2 linked regions of the Drosophila melanogaster genome follow. The protein of the gene in region 2 purifies or fractionates together with the protein of the main gene of each other region. This does not show direct contact. Each region holds a gene or a part of one and is shown on either strand. Other genes may lie near its edges.

Evidence for each region.
Region 1: the proteins of corn (region 2) and betaTub56D fractionate together in Drosophila melanogaster (co-fractionation; one study listed by BioGRID). This does not show direct contact.

What each region holds. Positions count from the first base shown.
Region 1 is NT_033778.4:19,446,756-19,451,841, reverse strand, and holds betaTub56D (beta-Tubulin at 56D), read left to right. Parts: upstream 1-2,242; 5' UTR 2,243-2,431; coding exon 2,432-2,515; intron 2,516-3,095; coding exon 3,096-4,382; 3' UTR 4,383-4,523; downstream 4,524-5,086. UniProt on the Drosophila melanogaster protein: Tubulin is the major constituent of microtubules, a cylinder consisting of laterally associated linear protofilaments composed of alpha- and beta-tubulin heterodimers.
Region 2 is NT_037436.4:7,154,027-7,159,022, forward strand, and holds the start of corn (cornetto), read right to left. Parts: upstream 3,048-4,996; 5' UTR 1,910-3,047; intron 1-1,909. Other genes in the region: CG8620 (uncharacterized protein), read left to right, coding at 4,221-4,784.

The sequences.
Region 1 (5,086 bases), on a different chromosome or scaffold from region 2:
TTCAACTGAGTTTAATGTGATAAAATGGACAAAAATGTATTCCCTTTTAATACATTTTTCAACATAGCTACTATCTTTCGATTAAACTTTGTATTTATTTCATTGACATTAATTAAAACTTAATGTTATGTCAGGCAAGTGGGATGTTTTAGCACACTAAAACGGGATTTGCGTTTTATTCGTTTTCATGTAGTATGGCCACACTGCGGCCATCGTATAAAAGCCCGCGCTCTCCAAAGCGAATGCACTAATTTTTCCAAGTGTGTGAAGCGGACAGTTTGTGTTGTGTTCGACTGCTATAAGCGAAAGATAATTTTAAGTTAAAAGTTCAAAAGCCTAAAACAAATACAAAATGAGGGAAATCGTTCACATCCAAGCTGGTCAGTGCGGCAACCAAATCGGCGCCAAGGTAAGTTTTCCCATTTGCATTTTCCATTCATTTTCCATCCAGAGTACAGTTGCCAAAATGGCGTCATTTTTGCACGACTTCGCTGTCCATGTGGCAAAAATTTGTATTGAGGCCGGCATTTTCACACTCACACATTTGCATTTATGTATACCAAGTTGTGTGCGTGTGTGTGTCGAGTGGTCTTTTTGAGTCCCGGCATCTGTGTTTGTATATACCGCATATTTGTCCGATTTCGCAAAGATGCTTGAAAATTGTTGTTCTACTCTGGCATTTGGGGTCCAAAATTTAGAACGAAAGTTTGTTACGCCCGAATTTCCGATCGATATAATGCTTTAGGGCCATTGACATTCGCATATGTACTTCGTGCCCATATGTATGTACATATGTAAGTAATTATAGTTGGGTGTGTCTGCAATTACACCGACGCTGGTGGCTGTGTGTATGCCTGTGTGCGTGTTGCATGCATGAGTCATTTTCTCTTGGGCGAAAGACTTTCATAGTTTTTCACCGGTTGTGAAAGCCATTTCACTGCCCAGATGGTGAAGGGTACTTTTCTATCGTCAAAACACGATAGCTTTTCTACACGCACATAAGAGCTTGCTGCTCATTTGTATGTGTGAGCGTCGGCCGGTTTTTTCATTTAATTTTTTTTTTTTTGCCGCTATGCGTCTTCTAAAGAGAAAACATGACGTCATTTTAACCTAAAATGGCTGAACCGGTCGTCGTTGAACGGTTCGCAGAACGTATAAGAGTTGATCTTATACGTAGATGGGATATAAGTATGTAGATATATGTGTTCGTAGGCTGCATTAGCTGTTCTATTGATTTTCATGCATTCCACACTCTGCTCCCTACTTAAAATTGCGCTACTTCGGCGGCTTCTCTATCTTATCATGGAATGAAACAATTTTCTATTTTTTATTCATGACTATAGTATAGACAGATTTCGGTTCTCTTTCGGCCATTATGTGCCAAAATGAAACTTTACTTTTAGCAGTAGGAATTGGGAGTCTGCAAGGTGAGATGATGACCTTATATAGAGGAATTTGCCATCTGTTTGTCTCTATCCCAGTTTCCTCTCGCACACAAAAAGCAACGAAACCGAGAAGGGCGGTGCTGCACATGCGTGTGGGATAACGGGGCACAGGACACGAAGGTGATGTTGATGATGACGAATCTTTCTAGTCCTTGCCCGAAAAATCAATACCCACATGCTGGGCATGGGCCCATGAGCCGAAAACAACCCTCGGAAACGCCTTAAAACCCGAGCAGCTGCAACATCAGAATTGTTGTGCCCAAGTATGGCTCTCAATATCTCTCTCTCTCGCTTTCGACCCGACCGGCTTACAAATGTGTATTTCTATATTTATATATACACTTTATATACATAGAATCCGGTATGACGGTGTCATTTCGCTAAACGAGTGTCAACCACGCATTTCCTCCAATACCAGTGTAGCGACTTATTTCGGTTAATTGTTTTTATTTGTTTACGCGACATAAACAACGACCATCGCAAAAAGTTCAGGTGACGTAATGCCCTGAAAAACAGACGATTTATGCGCCAGATGGTCGGTAGTTGGAGCACTGAGCTGCAGTTTTAACCTCTCAGCAAACAGACAACGCCAACGCCTCTCTCCAACTGGTACCCACTGCTCCTCCCACTCCTCCTCCGTTTCCCTCTTGCAGAGACGAGAGTGGGTCGCGAGACCCGAACAACCGGTGATGTAAGCCGCATCGGAAGCAGGGGGGCTTTTTGGGGTGGCAGAGCCCGGCTCTGAGGTCGCCGGCATTGCGTGGGGGCAGCACGTAGACATATAGACAGACAGACAGATAGTAGTTATACAGCTCAGTTCCAGCCCACGCCCGAAGATTCGAGTAAGATCGGTCGGCGGAACGCAATGACAGCTGCGCCTCGAGATCCGAAACGAAAACCCACGCCAGATGACGTTATCGTTGGTGTGGCGATGGTGCTGCTGGTCGTGGTGGTGGAAACGCACCAAAAATGGCAGCGAATAAGTTATGTTAATCGGAGCTCGGCCCATACACAGAGTTTATGATGGCGTACATGGGTGGCCTAAACCACGTAGCCGAGCCCAGACATGTGTATGTACATCGGCTGCTTCTTGTGCCCATTTATTCCAATCAATAAAGAGTTATATATAGACTGACTTTCCATAACCCATCACACATTTTGTTCGAGAAGGTTTCTGTATCGAAGTTATCTGTATAAGTTAAGAGAAAAACAAGAAAATAAGATTGCCTTTCACATGCATCAACTTTCACTGGGTATGGAAGAAAAATTTTAAGCAAATTACTTGCAGAATTGGAAATGAGTTTCAGTGATTAGTAAAAGTTTTCTTCAACTGCAGTACTCTTGTGCAAATAAAAGTTACCGTTGCTTAAGCATAAACTTCTTTTGTGATTTATGTGAAGCAGTCAAATAAATACTAGCTGTATATATGTATGCAGCAGATGGTCTAGGCTTTGAGTAATTTTACTACCATTGATTTTCTGTGATGACTCATTGGCCAAGTCATTCATACATTTTCTTAAGACTGAGTTAGAAAACACCCCCTAGTAATCGATTTTCCTGCTGACTCATGTTCACAAGAAATGCTGTACAGCACCTGCAAGTCCTAATCGCACTAATCCCAAATTCTTTACTTCCATTTCTCATTTGCAGTTCTGGGAGATCATCTCCGATGAGCATGGCATCGATGCCACCGGCGCCTACCACGGTGACAGCGACCTGCAGCTGGAGCGCATCAATGTGTACTACAATGAGGCGTCCGGTGGCAAGTACGTGCCCCGCGCTGTCCTTGTCGATCTGGAGCCCGGCACCATGGACTCTGTGCGATCGGGACCTTTCGGCCAGATCTTCAGGCCCGACAACTTTGTGTTCGGCCAGTCGGGTGCCGGCAACAACTGGGCCAAGGGTCATTACACAGAGGGTGCTGAGCTGGTGGACTCAGTGCTCGATGTTGTCCGCAAGGAGGCCGAATCCTGCGACTGCCTGCAAGGCTTCCAACTCACACACTCCCTTGGCGGCGGCACTGGCTCCGGTATGGGAACCCTGCTGATTTCCAAGATCCGCGAGGAGTACCCCGACAGGATCATGAACACATACTCGGTTGTGCCGTCGCCCAAGGTGTCGGACACCGTTGTGGAGCCCTACAACGCCACCCTGTCGGTGCACCAGCTGGTCGAGAACACGGACGAGACCTACTGCATCGACAACGAGGCTCTCTACGATATCTGCTTCCGCACCCTCAAGCTGACGACACCCACATACGGTGACCTGAACCATCTTGTCTCCCTGACCATGTCCGGCGTAACCACCTGCCTCCGATTCCCCGGCCAACTGAACGCTGATCTCCGCAAGCTGGCCGTCAACATGGTGCCCTTCCCACGTCTTCACTTCTTCATGCCCGGCTTCGCTCCCCTGACCTCCCGAGGATCCCAGCAGTACCGCGCCCTCACCGTGCCCGAGCTGACCCAGCAGATGTTCGATGCCAAGAACATGATGGCCGCCTGCGACCCACGCCACGGACGCTACCTTACCGTCGCCGCCATCTTCCGTGGACGCATGTCCATGAAGGAGGTCGACGAGCAGATGCTGAACATCCAGAACAAGAACAGCTCCTACTTCGTCGAATGGATCCCCAACAACGTGAAGACCGCCGTGTGCGACATCCCGCCCCGTGGTCTGAAGATGTCCGCCACCTTCATCGGCAACTCCACTGCCATCCAGGAGCTGTTCAAGCGCATCTCCGAGCAGTTCACCGCTATGTTCAGGCGCAAGGCTTTCTTGCATTGGTACACCGGCGAGGGCATGGACGAGATGGAGTTCACCGAGGCCGAGAGCAACATGAACGATCTGGTGTCCGAGTACCAGCAGTACCAGGAGGCCACCGCCGACGAGGACGCCGAGTTCGAGGAGGAGCAGGAGGCTGAGGTCGACGAGAACTAAATTCGAATCGGAAATCAATCGAATTCTCGATCAATGTTTTGCGAAAAAAAATGAAACGAGAACAAATGAATTCAGTTGTAAAAGATTTGTTCTCTTAACAACGTAATCAATAAAGTCGGATCCAATTTTGTTCACAAGTCTAAACAATTATGGTTTTTGTTGGGGTTTCTTATAATTAATAAGAGAGATATCAATCATTTTACGAGGATTATGAGACTGCGTTTTGTAGTCCAAGAAAGCTGATTAATGTTTAGAGTGTTGGTATAAATGTTAATAGGCTCATTAATGTAGGTTTTGACAAAAGCGAGGTATTTGTACATTTTCTCATTGTATTATTTGGATTCACAAATTTATGTTTATTTAATCGGGTTTCTCCCAGCTAAAAACAATAGAAATCTTTTCACCGGCTGTGTTTGTTTTGGACATGGTTATGTTGTGATGATTGATAATTTCATTCACATTAGTTTATTTATAGACCTTTTTTATTTATTGACAATGATTTGCCCTACCTACCTCAACTTTCGAGCAAATGCTGCATAAACAAAAGTAATTCGCCCTTGAAGAGGACATGACATGATATTTTCAGCGTAGGAAGTGGGCCTACGTACCATTGTGGTTCAGACGGCCTTGTATGCAATAAATCTAATTAATATATATATATATATATATTATGGTAGTCTTAACGCTACGGTTTCCCACACGCG
Region 2 (4,996 bases):
AACGCGCGTCTCGAGTGTGTCTTGGCAAGGTTCCAGTCCAGGCCGGGTTTTCGTCTCCAGAAGCGTTCTCTCAAGGCATAAACCTCTGAAATGGTATAGCCGAATGGCCATTGTCTGGAGAAAGACGAGATGATGAGGCTGCAGCTTGAATTCAGCTCTGTTTGCCCTCGTTTATCGTGTTTCCATGGGGTTGCCAAATCACAAACGAGGCGAATCTGGCCATTCAACTGACCTTGAAAACCAACCCAGACATGTGTTCGCTTATGAGTCCGTTACTGATTATAAACAATGCAACATTTGAACAAGGGGTACCAAGCGGAGTGTGGTGTGTCGCCAAAAACAGGCTCAAATCAGTGAGCTGCTAAATTTCGCACACTTCAAAAACTTGTTTATCATAAATTACGGCCATTGTTATTGAGATACCCGCTAATCGGGCACATTTGTATATGTATATCAGGGGAAACACATTGAAAATGCAATGTGTTATTATCTTTTGGGATAGGGGGCAGGCCAGCCAAAGTGGTAAGAAGTGCTAAAGCTGAAAAGTGCTGATAACTCCTATCGCCAATTGGTGTGTGGGAAAGCGAAATGTGTCACACGATTTGTTCGACGAGTGGAAAGTACAAGAACGGTGGCTTGCTTGCTTCTAGCGGCTCTTGCACCGGAAACTGCACTAATTGATGCTTAATTAGCGATTTCCTCAGCTCACTCTCCATTACGACATCCCCCACTTCAAGTCGCCAAGTTGTCGCATTATGGAGTAACGGCTAACATGTCCGCTGCTCCATCAACCGGGGCGCTTATGAATATGGTAAACGCCATTTAAGCAGGCCGGAAAAATGGTAGCATATACCAATTATTAATTCAAGGAAATGGGAATCGATTGAGCACATTGATACTATTTACTTGACAAATGTATATACTTTTCTAAGTAAACTTAAAACGCAATTGCTTGCCTAAATCCATGCAAACATTAAGTATTACCAAACTTTTTAAGCAAAAAGTTTGGTTTTTGCTACATTTCCCTTTGTATCTTTAATGCAAAAACGTCATGCTGACCTCCATTTTGCAGCATAACTTTTTGCAGTGTGTCAAGTTGTGACTGTTTGACTGACTGAGTGACGGACTGACATTAAATTGCACTCTTCCTGATTGCTTCGTCGCTTCAAAATCGATTATCGCCGAAGTCATGCAACTGAAATTATATTCACCGCTTGCCACATCCATATATGTATGTACATATGTACATACGTATATACGCTTTTACATACAAAGTTAACGCTGCATAATGAAGCGGACTACGTGGCTAGGATACAAAATCCGGAAGCCCCTCAGTCCGGCGGTCCTGACCTTTTTAATTTCAGCTAAAAACCAAAGCCGCACGACGCCAACACACCTCTGACCCACCACAACCACCCTCTCGCCCACACGACGATGTGGCTTCAACATAAGACGCAGCTCATATTCGATAACCACTTTCTACCCGCCAATGAGTTACAGTGGAGATTGGGTAAGCTTAACTTTTATCCTGATACAAAAAACAAAATATTTGCTTAAATTTGGCTTGTTACATAAGCAAAACTTTCATTTTCTTCGTAAAGAAAATTAATTGTACTTAAATGCTATGGAAAAACTATAAAATTTTACACGTAAGAGCCATTTGCCTTTCCCCCATATCCCACATCCATTATAAAAAAATATAAAAAGGACATTAAGATTTGTTAATCGATTTCAATTTAAAACTGACATTAACAAACAAAAAAACGATGTATCAGTTGGTATTAGTAAACTTTCTAAGACCAAGTGAAGGCAATTTCTAATCAGTTTGTGCTCAAAGCGATATTCTCTGCAATTTAACTTAGAACTCGCAGAATGTTCTACTTAGTGGCGTTCCACTGTAGCTACTCACCCACGGAGCTGGAGTTGAAGGAGGAAAACTGTGCCAGCGGTTGAGGAGGTTGAGGCTGCTGCTGGAGTTTCGTTCGTTGATTCGCTCGTTTGCTGTTTTGTTTGTTTGTTTGTCGGATTGTTGCTGTCTTTGTCGCTCAGTTGTTGTTCCTTTGGTGGGCGACGATGGAAATGTCAGAGGGTCGCGGTATTGGTATTACGGCCTCCCAGGGCATTCTCTTTTCGCTTGAGTTTTGATTTTTTTTTTTGCTTTGCCTGATAATTCTATTATTGCTCTCGCTCTCTTGGGGGGGAGTGCAAAATAATGGATGGCAATTCGCGGACGGAAATTTGCGAATTTAGCGCGTCGCTTCAATTTTGTGCAAATTGAATGCACAAACACTGAGAAGTGGAGAGAAATTACTAACTTCGGCGTTCTCCCTGTCTCCCACACACACACATACACGTGCACGCGCGAAATTTCGTGACAGCTGCAGCTGGAGAAGAAGAAGAGCATGAATGATCGCTCAAGGACTCGGTATCGTCCTGCCGTTTCCTCTCTCTCTTTCTCTCTCTGGTTCACTTCCTTTTGTTGTTCCGTTTACCTAACACAACGGCTTATTTGTATTGTCAGGACCAACTCACACACACGCACATACACGTACACTAGCGCACTGCAGCTGAGCCCAAAGGAAAAATCGATGATGAATCTGCGAATTAAAAGTCTATAGCCGCACATCGATTAATCTGCAGCTGAAGCGAGTCGCTTTAATTTAGTTTTTCAGCCTTGTTTTTGCTGCTTACGAGGAAAAAGACAGCAAGGCTTCGTTGAAAAACCCGTTCGGCGCGCAGGAAAGTCGGAAAAACGAAAATCGTATAGCGGCTTGGTAACAAAACGCGCCCACTCGCGGAAAACAACAAGTTTAAATATTAATTAAATCGATTTATATTTACTAAATCATAATATACATCGCTATTACTTCATGTAGGCGAGCAGAAGCACACTCCACGTCGAATTTATTGTTCGTTTGCTTAAAAAATCAGTTTCAATTGCCGCAACTCCGTTGGCATTAAAGTTATAACGATGTTTCTTTAATAATATTTTTTAATGGTAACCGAAAAAACAGCGCGCGCTGCTGCGCTCTCCCGAAAAATTACAGAGAGAATGCGTTGCGAGCTGCTTATATAGATTTTTAAAATATCAGAGAAACCAAATGATGGTAATGTAAAAATACCAAAGCCGGGAAATCGCGTTTTAACAGTCTGTTAACAGTCTGGCGTATCACACTGTTAATTCTCTTCAGCGGTTAAATGTATCTATTGGATGCGCCAAATATATCTTATCCATATTAACAGCTATTTTGATTAAGAAAACTTAGACTCGTTTAGTTTTATTTAAAATTTTTTAATAGTTTTGAATTATTATACCTTTTGTCGATTTTTAAATATAAGTAAACGTAAGGAATGATTTTAACCGCTTGTGGTTAAGACTGCATATTTTGGCGGGCACAATTCAAAAGCAATCATGAAAATACCACAATAAAAATACTAGTCTCAAGCGGTAATGTCTTATACGTAGTCTTATACCTTAAAATTAAATAGCAGTTCTGTAAAATATTTAACCGTTTAGTATTTCTAAAATAATGTGCTAAACCTGATTTATGCAATTATTAAGATCCCAAAACATTTTCAAAAAATTGTGTAAATTTCTTAATACTTTATATTCTTAAAATTTTCGATGATTTAAAACGATAAAATAATTGTTTTAAAATTACACACTTGGACGAAATTCAAAATTAAAATTATATCAAAATAATGTCATATTTCACAAAATCGTAAAAAATAATAAAAGGTATGCTTATAAAAATACGCAGAATATTTATAATGCATATAATATGCAGAAATACAAAAGTAAGAAGAATTTCGCAAAAATATGAAATATGTTTGAGGTTACGTTCGGCAATGAAATTATGTAACATTAAAAACACGTGATCAATGGAAGTAATTTCCCAAAAACCCATGAATGCGATTTGGTTAAAAATAGCTCAGATGACGTCACATTTATCGTGTGGTTTGTATGAGTATGTGACTGATAAAGAAAGGCAAATGTTTACAGTCCGAAAGTCGCGATTAGCTTGGCGCCAAAGTTGCCTATAAAAGCTCATCGACCGAATGCCGCAGAAGCCAGTCAAATTCAAGTGTTCAAGTGAAGCAGTCGAAACATAAGCAACAGATTCCGCAGCAGTTATATCCAGTTCAGAGAAACAGTAGTTAATCAGTAATTAAAGTGTTGAGTGAATTTCTTATCGGGTCAGTTGTAAACTAGTGCAAAAATGTCGCAATCCGATAACGTGGCACGTGAGCAAACTGCGGCAAATGCAGGGCCGGATGCATGTCAAGGATGCCGCGGCCAATTGCCAAATGCCACGCCCGTGGAAGTCGAGGACATGGCCTTGCCGTCGATGGAGCGTCTCATTCGAAAGGCCAACATGGCCCAGAAAATGCTGAACGATGTGATGAAACAGATCCAGAAGCAGCAGCAGCAGGAATCTCAACTCTCCATCAAGGAGACCAAGTCCAAGCACCGCAGCTCCGATGGAGGTAAACGACGACACAGAGGACGCAAACATCATAGTCATAGTCATCACACTAGCTCATCTTCCAGTTCCAGTTCCGACCACAGTGACTGCGAGCTGATCCTGGCGGAGAAGGAGGGGCACATGCCGCGGAGAAGACACACGCGAGATGACCGCAAGCGGGATCGTTCCCGGTCTCGCGGTCGCTCCCGTGGTCACTCGCGTGGTCGTTCTCATGGGCGTTCTCGTTCCAGGTCCTACACCGATTCCCGACGATCTCGAGCACTACCCCTGGCTCTGCCCGTTCGGATTTCAGTGTGAGTATCTGGCTTCATTCAGTATTATTCAATATTCATTTTATATATTAAGTGCGCATAAAAAAACCAAAAAAAAAAAAATAATAAAATATATAAAATATGAAAAAAATATTCAAATGAATTCTTTTTAATGGAGGGTGGGCTTATCTTTATTTTGGGTGCAAATAATACATACTGTTCAGGTATTCAAGATAATAAGTTACATTCGTTGATGAA